Linked DNA regions of Cricetulus griseus. The main gene of each other region encodes a partner of the protein of the gene in region 2 in a complex. Links are inferred from orthologs where the notes say so. Each region holds a gene or a part of one and is shown on either strand. Other genes may lie near its edges.

What was found. Proteins that work in one complex are often made in the same cells at the same time.
Region 1: Ncapd2 (region 2) and Smc4 share a complex: the UniProt entries of both Homo sapiens proteins name them as parts of the condensin complex. The link is inferred for Cricetulus griseus from reciprocal best matches to the Homo sapiens genes NCAPD2 and SMC4.
Region 3: Ncapd2 (region 2) and Smc2 share a complex: the UniProt entries of both Homo sapiens proteins name them as parts of the condensin complex. The link is inferred for Cricetulus griseus from reciprocal best matches to the Homo sapiens genes NCAPD2 and SMC2.
Region 4: Ncapd2 (region 2) and Ncaph share a complex: the UniProt entries of both Homo sapiens proteins name them as parts of the condensin complex. The link is inferred for Cricetulus griseus from reciprocal best matches to the Homo sapiens genes NCAPD2 and NCAPH.

What each region holds. Positions count from the first base shown.
Region 1 is NW_023276806.1:84,122,518-84,126,035, forward strand, and holds part of Smc4 (structural maintenance of chromosomes protein 4), read right to left. Parts: intron 3,475-3,518; coding exon 3,347-3,474; intron 1,930-3,346; coding exon 1,789-1,929; intron 1,019-1,788; coding exon 868-1,018; intron 1-867. UniProt on the Homo sapiens protein: Central component of the condensin complex, a complex required for conversion of interphase chromatin into mitotic-like condense chromosomes.
Region 2 is NC_048601.1:21,244,324-21,247,841, reverse strand, and holds part of Ncapd2 (condensin complex subunit 1), read right to left. Parts: intron 3,065-3,518; coding exon 2,949-3,064; intron 2,677-2,948; coding exon 2,452-2,676; intron 2,013-2,451; coding exon 1,838-2,012; intron 1,615-1,837; coding exon 1,530-1,614; intron 31-1,529; coding exon 1-30. UniProt on the Homo sapiens protein: Regulatory subunit of the condensin complex, a complex required for conversion of interphase chromatin into mitotic-like condense chromosomes.
Region 3 is NC_048595.1:91,427,853-91,431,370, reverse strand, and holds part of Smc2 (structural maintenance of chromosomes protein 2), read left to right. Parts: intron 1-642; coding exon 643-876; intron 877-1,929; coding exon 1,930-2,089; intron 2,090-2,487; coding exon 2,488-2,605; intron 2,606-3,518. UniProt on the Homo sapiens protein: Central component of the condensin complex, a complex required for conversion of interphase chromatin into mitotic-like condense chromosomes.
Region 4 is NC_048599.1:51,411,578-51,415,095, reverse strand, and holds part of Ncaph (condensin complex subunit 2), read right to left. Parts: intron 2,087-3,518; coding exon 1,938-2,086; intron 1,403-1,937; coding exon 1,296-1,402; intron 87-1,295; coding exon 1-86. UniProt on the Homo sapiens protein: Regulatory subunit of the condensin complex, a complex required for conversion of interphase chromatin into mitotic-like condense chromosomes.

The DNA of each region.
Region 1 (3,518 bases), on a different chromosome or scaffold from region 2:
TTTATGTGTATGAGTGTTTATTGAATGTCTGTCTGTGTGCCACATGCATACAATGCCTACAGATGTCAGCAGAGGTCATTTGAGACCAGACTAATAGACAGCTGTGAGCTGACACGAGGGTACTGGTAGCCAGTGATCACTAAGCCATCTTTCCAGGCCACAAAATTCAATTTTAAAACTTTAACCCCAGAATAGAGAGTCTGTCACCTATATGCCTTTTCTTTTTGCTAACTCTGTTGCAGAAGGCAAGTATTACTCTAAAGTTTGTGGGGTTGCTAAGAATGCTCAGTGAGTAAAGGCATTTACCCACAAGGTGAAAGGAGTAAACCAACTAACTCCCTTAAGTTGTCCACTGACCTCAGACACATGTAATAGCACACATGTGTATGCAGACACAAAAGTAATTTTTTTTGGGGGGGGTTTAAAAACTGTAATATCTAATAAAAAACATCCTCTTTAGCCACCATTACTAACCAAGCAGAGAGAGAGAGGCAGGAGGATCTAAGTGAGTTTGAGGCCAGCCTGATACATACAGTGCGTTCCAGGCCATCAAGTGCTACATAGTGAGAGCTTATCTCCAAAATAAAAAACAACAAAAACATAAAATATCCCAAAATCCCTTTACACATTACTATTTTAGGAAAAAGAAAATTATCACCACCATAGAAACAGAATTGCTAACTGGGTGGACATTATTACTAATGTAAACTCTGAAACTCATAAACTTGGGACAAAATTGTGTTAAGACATAAAATACTTTTATAAGCATCCCAATTTATCTTCTTAGGGAACTAGAGTCAAGCAAATTAGGGAAAACAACTAGATCTGGTATTTAGACTTGAAAAATTGATTTCCCCCAATACCTACCTTTTCTTTATCTTTTTGAAGTTGTTTCTCCAGTTTTTTGGCTTTACTTGTAGCATGCTTTAATTTTTCCCTAAGTTGAACATCTTCTAAATCTAGCTTTGTAAATTTTTCTTTATTCTCTTCAATAAATTTTATAACTTTATTGAGTTTCCTATCAAAGAAAGTAAGTATCAGTCATAGACACATAGACTTTCTGGTATATTTCCTCCACAAACATGTCAAAACTCCTTTTAATTAGAATCCTAAAACTTCTACACTGATCTTCCCTGATAGCTGACAATTTTTTTTTTTTTAAATCATGAGAGCTGTCTTTCATTTCTAAGGTGGAAAGACTGTTCTTTTACTATGTCTAGGTATATAAAAAATTGTCCATAAAAATTAAAGAAATGAAGCTCACTCAAAGATACTATTGTCACTGAAAGTTGGCATAGAATAGGGCCATGATAATTTTTAAAGTCTACCTAAAATAACCAAAATTCTATTTCAAAACCAAATTTGTAAACTAATTAGGGCTAATGGGTCAGGTAAAATGCTTATGTTTTAGCTTTTTATATATTGTGCCACTAGGGGAAAGACATCCCTTACGGTATGACTGTTGGGCAATCTGTAACAGTGAGCTAGGTATAGGAAGTGCTGGTGCCTAAATGAACTATTTGCTGGGAAATGTATTACATTCAAAGTTTGCTCTAAGTTTACATGTAGACACATGTGAAAAACTGAATTTAAAACTTCTCAAAGAGGCCAGGCGATTGTGGCGCACGCCTTTAGTCCCAGCACTTGGGAGGCAGAGGCAGACAGATCTCTGTGAGTTCAAGACCAGCCTGGTCTACAAGAGGTAGTTCCAGGACAGCCTCCAAAGTCACAAAGAAAACCTGTCTAGAAAAACAAAAGAATAAAAAAAAAATTCCTAAAGAGTATTACTTTTCTATATCCTTCACAGCTGAATTCTTAGCTTTCATTTCATTTGAAAGCATATTGCTCTTCTCAGTGATTTCTTTAGTATCTTCATGAATTTTTTCCTTTTGAGTTTTCATTTCAGCAATTCTTTTTTGTAGATCATAACTAGAGGAGAAAATAAGGAGAATGCAAAGTATCATCAGTAAAATCAACTGCTTATAACATATTTATTCATCAATTTATAGCAAAGTGAGGTCTATGGAAGTGGGGTTAAGGCTAGATAGAATTTAATAACAAAATTGGTCCAGTTAATAAATTAGATCTAAGCTGGGCGGTGGTGGCACACACCTTTAATCCCAGCACTCTGGAGGCAGAGAAAGGTGGATTTCTGTGAGTTGAGACCAGCCTTGTCTACAAGAGCTAATTCCAGGACAGCCTCCAGAGCCACAGAGAAACCCTTTCTCAAAACAACAACAACAACAAAAAAACAAAACAAAAACAATAACAACCCCCCCAAACCCAAACAATAAATCAGATCTATCATTCAACAGTGTATAGTAAGTAGTATCTCATTGTTTTTGCATTTCAAAGTTTCAGTTACTTGTGGAAGACTAGCATCTAAAAATATTAAAAGGTAAATTATAGAAATAAACAATTTCAAAACGTACATTGGCTAGCATTACTAATCTTTCCTTTCATTCAGTATACCAACATGTACATACCAGCCCTATACTCACTTAGTAGTTCAAGTAACTCTCCTTATACTTAATAATGCAAAGGGCCTAAAACATGTAAGGAGGAGCTGAGGAGATGGTTCAATTAAGCAAGAACATTTGATTTTTAAGAATGAAGATCTGAGTATGAATTTCCTGCACCCAGGTAAACTGTGCAGCACCATGGTTAAGTGTGCTGTTAACATCAACATTAGGGGGTGGGGTAGGGAGCATGCCTGATGGCTAGCTTGCCTAGCTGGAACTTCTGTTTTAGGGAACATCCTGTAAGGTGATGAGGTGGAGATGGGTAGAGGAAGACACTCCATATTTTGCCCTGGCTTCTGTGTACGCACATGCATACGCTTGCTCATGTGCAGGCAGACACACACATACACATTCCCCCAAACCAAACCAAAAAACCCACAATGGATTGGGGAGATAGCTCAGAAGGTAAAAGTGCTTTCAGGACACACTTGATGACCTGAGTTTTATCTCTGGAACCTCCTACTAGGAGAGAATGATCCTTGAAAACTGTCTTCCTTCCTGGGGAAGTTAGCACCCACCTACCCTTGTACAATTATACCAATAATGAAAACAACAAAAACTGCATCCTGCAAGAGCTGATTAACTCTGATTTTGTGGCACTTCTATAGGACACAAATAGTACATACATAAGGGTTTGGCACAGCCTGTGATTTCTGTCAGGTTCTGAATATTATCCCTTAGCACATGCACTATTACTACTCATATGGTATAACTTCCTTCCTTCTTTCCACTTTTAAAATAGGACACTAAAAAGTGAGTAGTGACTTTTAGAAAAATCACATTACAGAAAAAAAAGGCTTTGATGCTTAGACCAGAGTACTTACATGTAATATTGACAGACATGATTCTTTTTTTTAAATATTTCATTTTCCAGGGTAAGGAACTCAATGGCTATGTTTTTCTCTCCTTCTAGGGCATCCTTTTCCTTTTCCACCATTTTAACTCTGTTTAACTACAAAAATTATAAAAAATTATATATTTCATATATAAAGTCAA
Region 2 (3,518 bases):
TATCTCATCCTTCTGCACAAACTCACAAAGCTGGGGAGAAAAGAAAAATAATTCTGCTTCAAAATAACAGTTCCCTGCTGGTTTACTTGTCTGAAGACAACATGGAGACCTCGATGGAGTAGAAGAGAAGGGGGTGCAAATGTCCAACAGGATTTTGAGGGGGTCTTCTTGCTCCATTCTCTACTTTTCCACCCCATGTCTTTCTTCAAGGCTACACTTCCTAAAGTAAAGCATTCCAATGGATCTTCTGAGTTTGCTGTAGACCACCATCCTGACCACCTGAGTATCTCTATAATTTTTCTTGGTCAACCTGTCCATGACAGGGTTACTATCCTTCTTGTCTTTTCATTTCCCAGCAATCGCAACCCCCTCTTCTTTACACGTGCATTCATTCGTTTTAGTGGTCCAGCCCTGAGTGTGTCTCTCATCACTGCACACCTACGGGAGCCTCGAGCAGCACTTCTACCCTGCCCACGGTTCTCCAGGTGGCTGGCATGGGAAAGGCAGGCCAGCTCTTCTCTGCCTACTGCAGAAGTCACAAGCAGCAGGCAGCTGGGAAATATTGAGGCAGTTGCCACCCCCAGGTCCTCTCTTTCCCCAGAGGGAACAAAGGCCAGGCCCAGCAGATGGCACCACTCCAGCAGCGCAGATTCACCTCATGAAAACCTAGGGTCCTTTGACTTGAAGGCTCATGCTCCCAGCTTGATTATCTTCTGAAGATAATGGTTTTGAGTCAGAACAAACTTCTTCATTCTCCAGATAGGCTACTGGACTCTCTTTGGTTTTTGACACAAATTCTCTCCTCTCTCTCAATCTGACTAAACTTCCATGACCCACGTTGCCTACTACCAAGCCCCTGACCTTCACTGTAAGCAGCTCTGTGATCTCTGTTACAGCACACAGGCTGGATATGTTTTCTTGAGCTTGTACTGTATAAGTGCTACAGTCAAAGCTGGGCGGTGGTGGTGCACGCCTTTAATCCTAGCACTCAGGAGGCAGAGGCAGGCGGATCTCTGTGAGTTCGAGGCCAGCCTGATCAACAGAGCAAATTCCAGGACAGGCTCCAAAGCTACACAGAGAAACCCTGTCTTGAAAAACCAAAAAAAAAAAAAAAAAAAGAAAGAAAAAAAAAAAAAAAAAAAAAGGTGCTGCAGCCAGGCAAGTTGTGAAACCTCTGAGCCTCCCTCACAGAATCCCATTCTACATACACAAAGAACTACCCAGAGGTGCCCAGTGGTGGTAAGAATAGCGCCCAGCACACAGTAAACAGCATGTGTTATTACTGCTTACGGTTACTACATATGCCACACCTGAAGCTTAACACTGAGGAAGCCGTGGCAGGATGGTGGGCATGAGGCCAGCCGGGACTACACAGTGAGAAGACAGCCTCAAAGTAGCAAACACCAGGCATATAAATATAAAGTTGCGAATCAGAAAGCAACTAATCTCAAATCTCTGTGGGGCTGAACAGATTTCTGCACACAGGAAGCAGCCACTAATTCTAACTGCTGAATGAGAGGGGGACTTACGATTTCCTCAAGACACTGGATGGTTCCGACAGAGGCGTCCACTAACAACAAAGAGAGGTTCTGTACCAAGGCCTGGGCCGTGGCTCTGTGGGAACAGTAGACATCAGTGGTCACTATGACTGGGAAGCTGACTTGACAAACAGGCTGTTAGGTTAAATAACTGCTTGAAGTAGGCCTCAGCAGAAACTGACCCTGGGCTTGGTACCAAGCAGTTCAGAAGTCCCTGGAAGAATAGCCTCAGGACACTTTGGAAATCCCCAGAGAAGCTGACCTCAGAGAAGTTAACCAAGACAAGGAACCCCATATACCTGGCTGAGTCCCCTTTTGGGCTGAGGTAGAGTTGGCGGTAGGCATTCAGTACAGCTTCCCGGACACCAGGCTCCTTAGACCAGATGAGAGGCAGCATGCGGCGAACCCCAAACAGAGCCTGGGGTACCCCAAATTGGAACACCATCACAAAGAATTCAATCACTTCCTGCACCACTGAGAACAAATACAAATGTCACCCATCTACCTGACAAGTATTATACTACTCACAGATAGAATCCCTGTCAACACAGCAATATGAAAGTAGAAGTCATTGTCATTGTCCCTGAGACATGACACTGGCTAAACTAGGTAAACTGTAAAATGTTAACAGTGGTAAACACTCCCTGACTTTTAATGGTGCAGGCATCAGGGGCTGGACGATAGCTCAGTGGTTACGAACACTGGCTGCTCTGACAGAGGACCCAGGTTCAGTTTCTCAGTACCCGCATGGTGGCTCACAACAAATCCTAACTCCAGTTCCAGACGATCTGACTGCTTCTGCTCTCTACAGGCACCAAACTACATGTGGTGCACATATACACAGGAACAACACTCACACACATAAAAGTAAACGAAATCTTACAGCCAGTCCTTTCTCAAGAGCGCCCCCTACCTGTGGTTGTGTTTTCATACATCATCTTGCTGATGATGCTGATGGCTTCTGTGATCTTCTGGGAGAAGCTGCAGGCATCCTGCAGATACTGCACCAGCATCTCCTGCTTCACCAGCTCATCGCCCCTCTGGGGTACCTCAGGCTCAGACACACTGGGAGTGTCTTTACTGTCAGTTGGCGCTGGGACTGTGTCCCCATGAGACTCCTGTGTGGAAGCTGCAGGGCCTAGGAATTAGAGAGGTACAAGAAGTTTTGTCAGGTGTACCTGGGGGATCCAGTGGGTGCCAGCATCCCTGTGTATTTCTTTCCACAATGTAAACATATGAACTTAGAACCTACTCTAACACACTTTGGTTCATTTCTTAATGGATTCCTGGAGGCCCCTCTAGTTTGCAAAGGTTCCCTACAACCAGGCCACTGCCGTTCCAGAGCAGCACCAGCCCCTCCTCCCCTGCCTCCTCCAGCCCGAGGCTGTGCTTGCTAACTGAAAGGGTTACCTTTGAAGATAATTCCCAGGAGATTCAGGAAGCTGGTCTCTTCTAGGTCTGTGTGACTGAAGGGTTCAGACTCTTGGAAGTGGCCGGTGGCTTCTCGAGTGAGAATAATAGCCTGCCTAGAAAAATACCAGCCTGTCACCAATTCAGCACCCAGAAGAGTGTCAATGAAGCCTTTGAAGGGATCCTACCTCATGATTCCATGCAGTCTCTACACATAGTACCCTAAAGAAAAGGGCTTCGCCTTATGCTTAAAAAGCTGAGCAGTACCTACTAGGACACTGGGTCCCAAACATCAAGCTTTTCCTGTAGTCTTCAAAGAATGTGGATCTTTTCGTTGTTGTTTTGTTCTGTTTTGTTTTTTTTGTTTTTTGTTTTTTTTTTTTTTAGACAGGGTTTCTCTGTGTAGCTTTGGAGCCTATCCTGATACTGGCTCTGGAGACCAGGCTGGCCTCGAACGTGGATCTTTTTAAAGCTTTCAAATCACAAACCTGGGCTAGCCAGATAGCTCAACAGGAAACATACTCACCACAGACCTTAATGACTTTGAGTTTAATCCCTAGAACCTGCATG
Region 3 (3,518 bases), on a different chromosome or scaffold from region 2:
TGGTGTCGCCTGACCTTGCCTTATTTTACCATATTTTCTGCCTTAGAATATAGACTTCCTAGACACAGGGTATAATCTGTAAAGTCTTGAAACAGTATCCAGTATATAGTAAGGACCTAGTAAATAGTAGATGAATTACAAGTAGTCAAGTGGCCCAAAATATCTGCCCATGTTTATGTAAATAAGGTCTTTTTTTCCTTAGTTGGTATCTTGTCTTGTGTGAGATATCTAATTAATATTACATAAAAGGAGTTAAGTATAGCAATATTTATTCTGCAATGCTTGAATCTTATGCCACTTTATAAAATATTTTTGTATATGTATTCTTAATCCTAAAACTTTTAAGCTTGATGTGGGGTGGTTATTGTTTTATAGATTTCAGAACTGATTTTTAGCTTTCCTAAGTGATTTCTTTAAATTTATTCCATTTTGCCTGGATTTTATTGTCCCATATGGAAAGAAAATGTCATATTATATAGGTGTCACATACCCAAAACAGCAAGTTACAACATGAGAATTTAAAGTAATAACAGTTAAATTACTTCTTTTATTATGCCCTCTCAAAATGCTATGAACTTTAATAACAATGTAAGTTGAAATTTTCTTCTAAAATCTCTTTTCACTTTGATATTCTTCCCCAAGGACTCTAAAACATTAGCAGCAAAGGAAAAGGAAGTTAAAAAGATAACAGACGGGCTGCACAGCCTTCAAGAAGCAAGTCATAAAGATGCTGAAGCTTTGGCCGCTGCACAACAGCACTTCAATGCTGTTTCTGCTGGCTTGTCCAGCAATGAAGATGGAGCAGAAGCAACTCTGGCTGGGCAAATGATAACCTGTAAAAATGATATAAGTAAAGCTCAGACCGAGGCCAAGCAGGTATGCACAGACAGTAAGCATGGGGTGGGAACTACTGCAGTTCGTGAGAAGCAACTTTTCACATTATGCTTTGCGTTGCTACAAAATCTTGAAAATAATTAGTTGAATGTCAAGGATTTTTAAAAATATCGCTAATCTCTAATGTGGAAAAATCTCAGTGCATTCATTGTTAAATATTGGTAACCTTCGATTGTCAAGAGCTGTATGCTATTTGTAGCACTGCTTGGAAGTATGCATGCATGCTTTTTCGTTAAGTGAAAGAGCCACCTTTAACATATTTACATGAAAACATTTATATGCTTTATTAATTAATCCTGATCAATTTAAGACATTTGAATTTACAAATATTTGTATTTTTTCATTCAGAAGTGACAGGCATAGAGTTTGTAAGAACTCAGTACTATTAAAGCTTTGAATTAATTTTTAATAAACATACCCTGAAGGACTTAGTAAAAGCTGATCTGTCATCATTGAGTTATAGACTGAGAATATTATAATTCTAAGGCCTGAGAATATATTCAGTTATACACCCTGAGAATAAAAGTATGCCATTAAAAAGCAGTGTTCACTTGTAGAAATTCATAGGGGTCAAAAGTAGTCACCATTGAATATCAGACTTTTGGCACTAAATTTCTGTCAGTGTACCTTCCCTTTTATGTATTGTTTTACACAGCTGTTTGCTGTTGACAGATACAATTCATAGAGATATGCAAATAAGGTTAGAAACACTCAAGTTGAAGACAACAAAATAGTGATATGTAACTGTCGGGTGTATTTTTAAATAGCTACTGAGAGTTATTCTCATGAAATTTCCCAACTTTGTTAATATGTCATACTGTATTAATACTAAGAATAGACATGTTCTAAATTAGTCATTTATGTTAATATTTTTAAGACATGAATACAGAGAAATTAACTTTTTTGAGTATTAATCCAGGAGACTACACAGTTCTATTTTCAGTTCTGATGTTTCCTTGTTAAATTGATTTGAATCTGTAGCTGTTTCATCACTAACATTGCCCACCTCATAGTCTGTTACACTTTCTGTCACAGGCACAGATGAAGCTGAAACATGCCCAACAAGAGCTAAAGAGTAAGCAAGCAGAAGTTAGGAAGATGGATAGTGGCTACAAGAAGGATCAAGAAGCTTTTGAAACTGTGAAAAAAGCTAAGGAAAAACTTGAAACCGAAATGAAGAAACTAAATTATGAAGGTTTGTCTTAAGTGTCTTTAAAGTCAAATCATGAGGAGGTTTTATGCATAGAAACTTTTTTTTTAACCTATTTGTAAACATTAGAGAAGTGTTTGGTCATAAATACAGTCAAAATTGTCTAAATTAGTCTAGTAAATTTTTGATACTTTCTTACTTTATCACTTGAAAGCTTAAAACTAGTGTTTATCTATGTTCACGTTAGTAGGTATTCAGTTCATATGTTGTTTCTTGCATTGAAAATTGTATGATTTTGATGTTAGAAACATGACCATTTGATACTTGGGAGATTTACATTTTGCTCCTTGTAATACTTGAGAAAGAGAGGCAGAGGCTCTGCTTCCCTTAAGTGGTCACATGTTTAAGACCTGCTTTCGAGCTCCTTCTGATTTACTTCTCAGAAAACAAAGAGGAGAAACTTCTGGATAAGCACAGGCAGCTCTCACGTGACATTGGTAATCTGAAAGGAACTTACGAAGCTCTCTTGGCCAGATTTCCCAATCTTCGGTTTGCATACAAGTAAGAGATTTAAGCAGTAAATAACCAACACACATTTTTGCTTGCACTGGAAGGCAATCTGGAAATTTTTCACAAGATTTTTAAGTTACATTTCTTTATTTTGTATTTTTTTCCTCAAATATTAATTAAAGTATATCAAATGTTGGATGTGTGTGTGGGGATTCTTTTGAAAATAACAGTGACTGGTATCACTCATCTTAAACCAAATAGGGTGATTTAGTCTCCCTCTGTTCAAACTGCCTTCACAGTTATTCTGTCATTACTGTTGCATTCTTTGATTTGATTTACTGCATGGGATTTTTATGACATCCGCTTTTCATCTTTTTTCAATGGCAGCATTGAACATTGAATTCTGGATGTCAGGCGTAAGAGGGAACCACCCCTGAGCTCTAACCTTTGTTACAGCATTATTTATTTATTTATTTATTCGTTTATTTATTTATTTATTGGTTTTTTGAGACAGGGTTTCTCTGTATAGCTTTGGAGCCTATCCTGGCACTCGCTCTGGAGACCAGGCTGGCCTCGGACTCACAGAGATCCGCCTGCCTCTGCTTCCCTAGTGCCGGGATTAAAGGCGTGCGCCACCAACACCCGGCTGTTACAGCATTCTTAACCATAATCATGTAGTAGAGAAATTGGAACACCAACGTTGTTTGCTGAACATTGGCTAAAAGGGACTGGAGAGATGGCTTGCTTTTAAGGGAGCAACACACTGCTTGTTCAGAGGACCCGATTTCAGTTTTCATTCCCCACATCATGGGCCTTATCTCCTACCTTTAGGGACCCAACACCCTCTTCTGGCCACCACAGAAATTGCATTCATATGCATCTACCCCCACAAAGATATGTGTATGCACATAATTGTAGATTAAACAATAAATCTGTTTTAACTTAGTGAAATATTTTACTTTTC
Region 4 (3,518 bases), on a different chromosome or scaffold from region 2:
TCTGTTTCATAGTGGAAATCTGTGGGAAGAGTGGTGACTTTCCAATTCTGGTTCTCCAAAGTGAACTTGGTCAGAGTGGTGGCAGCCTATTCATAAAAAAAAAGGACATTTTTTTATTTAAATTAAAAACAATCTTATTTTACATGCCAATCCCAGTTCCCTCTCTCTGCCATCCTCCCACCAACCCCCCCATCCCACCCCTCATCCACTCCTCAGAGAGGGTGAGGCCTCCCATGGTGGATCATCAAAGTCTGTCACATCATTTGGGACAGTACAGAGGCCCTCCCCCCTGTATCTATCTAGGCTGAGCAAGGTATCCCTCCATAGGGAATGGGCTCCAAAAAGCCTTCTTAATAACAATGATATATACCATTTTAAAGGTGATTAGGAAGGGTTGGCATTACTCTACTATTTCCAATTCTCTGGTCACTATGATGAGTGACTGTGCTGGGCATGAGAGCAGATGCCTGTAATCGCAGCACTCAGGGGGCTGAGGCAGGTATCCTGTAATGAGTTCATGATTAGCCTGGCTGTAAAGGGCATGAGACTAGACAACACGGTGTCACTCTGTCTCACTTGCTGAGCTTGCCTGTCCCTGGCACTGGCTTTGGGACTATTTCTCAGTGGTCCCTTAGGGATGAGGGAGAAAAGAGTACGTGTTTATCAGTTAAAGTTATAGCTGGGTACCGGGGCACATCTGGGGGATAAAGGCAGGAGGACCAGAGGTTTAACACCAGCCTCAGCTATATAGCAAATTTAAGGGCAGCCTGTGCCACAGGAGACCCTATCTCTAGAAAACAAAAATTAAATACACCGTAACTTTCCACTTATTTCTTTGTTATGGAGACTCTCTATGTAGCCCCAGCTAGCCTGGAACTCAGAGAACCTCTGCCTCCCGAGTGCTGGGATTAAAGGCGGGATGTTGCACCAGGCTGTACAGTGGTTTTTGAAAACCCTGTCAGGCACTTCGGCGCCGATCCAATGGACACCAAGGTGTCCGTCAGCCGATGAGTTTTGCTGTGTGGTGGTGGCGGCACACACCTTTAATCCCAGCACTCCCGGGAGGCAGAGGCAGGTGGATCTCTGAGTTTGAGGCTAGACTGGTCTTCAAAGACGGTTCCAGGACAGACTCCAAACCTACAGAGAAACCCTGTCTTAAAAAAAGAAAGAAAGAAAGAAAGAAAGAAAGGAAGGAAGGAAGGAAGGAAGGAAGGAAGGAAGGAAAAGAAAACCCTGTCAGAAAGGGCAAGAGGAGAGCAGAGTAATCTCAGAAGGCACTAATGTCTGGCACAAACCTTTGTTTTCCGAAAATATGCATCAAAATCAATATCATCATCAAAATTAATTTCAAAGTCTTTCTTTGAACTCTTCTTTTTGTTCTCCACGTGGGAGGCAGTATCTTCTGCAGAAGTAAAGACAGTTTATAACATTATTCACCTCTGTGCCAACATTATTCTCATCTCACATCCACTAAAGGCCTTGTCAAGCACAAGACTGCATGTGTGGCTGAGCATCACTACAGTGGTGGAATACGGTAAAATCACATATCCCGGGTCCAGCTAAGTGCAGCATGTGTGCTATGTTAGACACAGGCGTCAGTGTATACTCCACTTTTCCTTACGGAGCCTGGAAGACTATAGGGGACTTCCCCTGTGCCACTTACACAACTGAAGTCGTACGGGTACTAGGAAGCAGAGTGAGGTCATGAGGCCTGTCCCCCAGACTCAGAGGCTTACTCTTGCCACTCAACATTAACTGACCCTCCTGTGGCTGACCACTGCGCAGCCAGGAGGCTGGCTCAGCCCCTCTGCTTCAGCACCTCCTCAGAAGATGAGAAGGACAGAGATCAGCAGTGTCTCTTTTCCCTGCTGACTGAAGACTGGCAGGCAGTATGTGCTGCATGGCATTGTCTTACAGTCCCATCCACAAGTACTTACGCTTGGGTCGAGGCCGAAAGAACCAGTGATCTGGGCCAGCCCACATCTTCATGGTCCGGGGACTGAAATAGGAGTATTCTCCAGGTTTCATGGATAAAAAGGAGCACATGGTTTGGATGTCTCTGTCCCTGAGGGAAACAATTTCTTCCCTGTAACACAACAAAACCAACTGTTCATGTATACGGCACAGAACATAAACCATGCATTTACATATAAAGAAGTTGGTGTTACTAGAGATGCTACCCCACCTCCTCTACCACAAAGGGTCACTTCCTTCTTTTTCAGTATTTTTATATTTTATTTTATAAAATGGGTGTTTTGCCTGTATCAATGTATGTGCATCACATGCATACCTAGTGCCTCCAGAAGCCAGAAGGGGACATGGATCCCCTGGAACTGGAGTTACAGTGTTGTGAACCACCATGTGGACTCTCTAGTCCCAGAAGCAACCTTTCTAAGTCCAAGCAAACCCTTCATTAAGAAATCACCAGCCGGGAGGTGGTGGCACAGGCCTTTAACCCCAGCACTCAGGAGGCAGAGGCAGGCGGATCTCTGTGAGTTTGAGACCAGCCTGGTCTACAAGAGCTAGTTCCAGGACAGCCTCCAAACCCACAGAGAAACCCTGTCTCAAAACAAAACAAAAAAATCATCAAGTTTTTACTTGTTGAGAGTTTTTGCCTAATTTTCTCACAAAGTGTAACTATACAAATATGTTGGCTGTTCCAAAGTGCTCTGTAAATACTAATCAAAAGTCAAGGATTCTTTGTTTGTTTTAGACAGGGTCTCCTTATGTAGCTCTGGCTGGCCTGGGAATGGTGGCAGATGCCTATAACCCCTGAACTAGGGAGGATGAGGCAGGAGGATCTTGAGTTTGAGATCAGCCTGGGCTACACAATGATATTTAGTCTCAAAGAGCAAGCACAGGATGCCAGAGCAGGTAGCTGGATGCAACTCTCTGAATCCAGACGTGGGTCCTTTCACACATGTGTTTTTTGCCACAAAACATGAGAATCCTAGTTCCCATTCTTTCACTGTTGAGAATCCACAGGCACTGCCTTAGTTCCTCCTAAGAGGGAAAAGGATATTCCAGTTTACATAGTTTGTTCCCCAAACACTTGGAGAGTCCCTTTAGTAATTTTAGGTCACCCAGCTTCGTGTGCTGTGTATGATACACATAAGAGGCCTGGCAGCCTGGCAGCTTTGGGACATGAGGGAGCCCCTCTCCTCAGGCTGAGGCACTAGGAAGCACACCAGTGCAACTCTGCCACCCTGTGAGGATAAAGGTGGTGAGTGAGGAGAACTTAGTCTCTCCGTGAGAGGAGCTTTGCACTGGCATTGAGTTGACCATGAGTCCTATGACACTCTACAGAGTAAGCAAAAAAAAAAAAAAGCTTTAAAAAGGGGACTGGCACAGGGTAGGACAGCACACACTTTTAATCTCAGCTCTGGGGAGGCAGAGCCAGAGGCAGACAGAACTCTGAGTGTAGGGTCAGCCTGGTCTACAAAGTGAGTTCCAGGAAACCATCTTGAAAATAATAATAATAATAATAATAATAATAAAAGCAGACTGGCTTTCTCTAT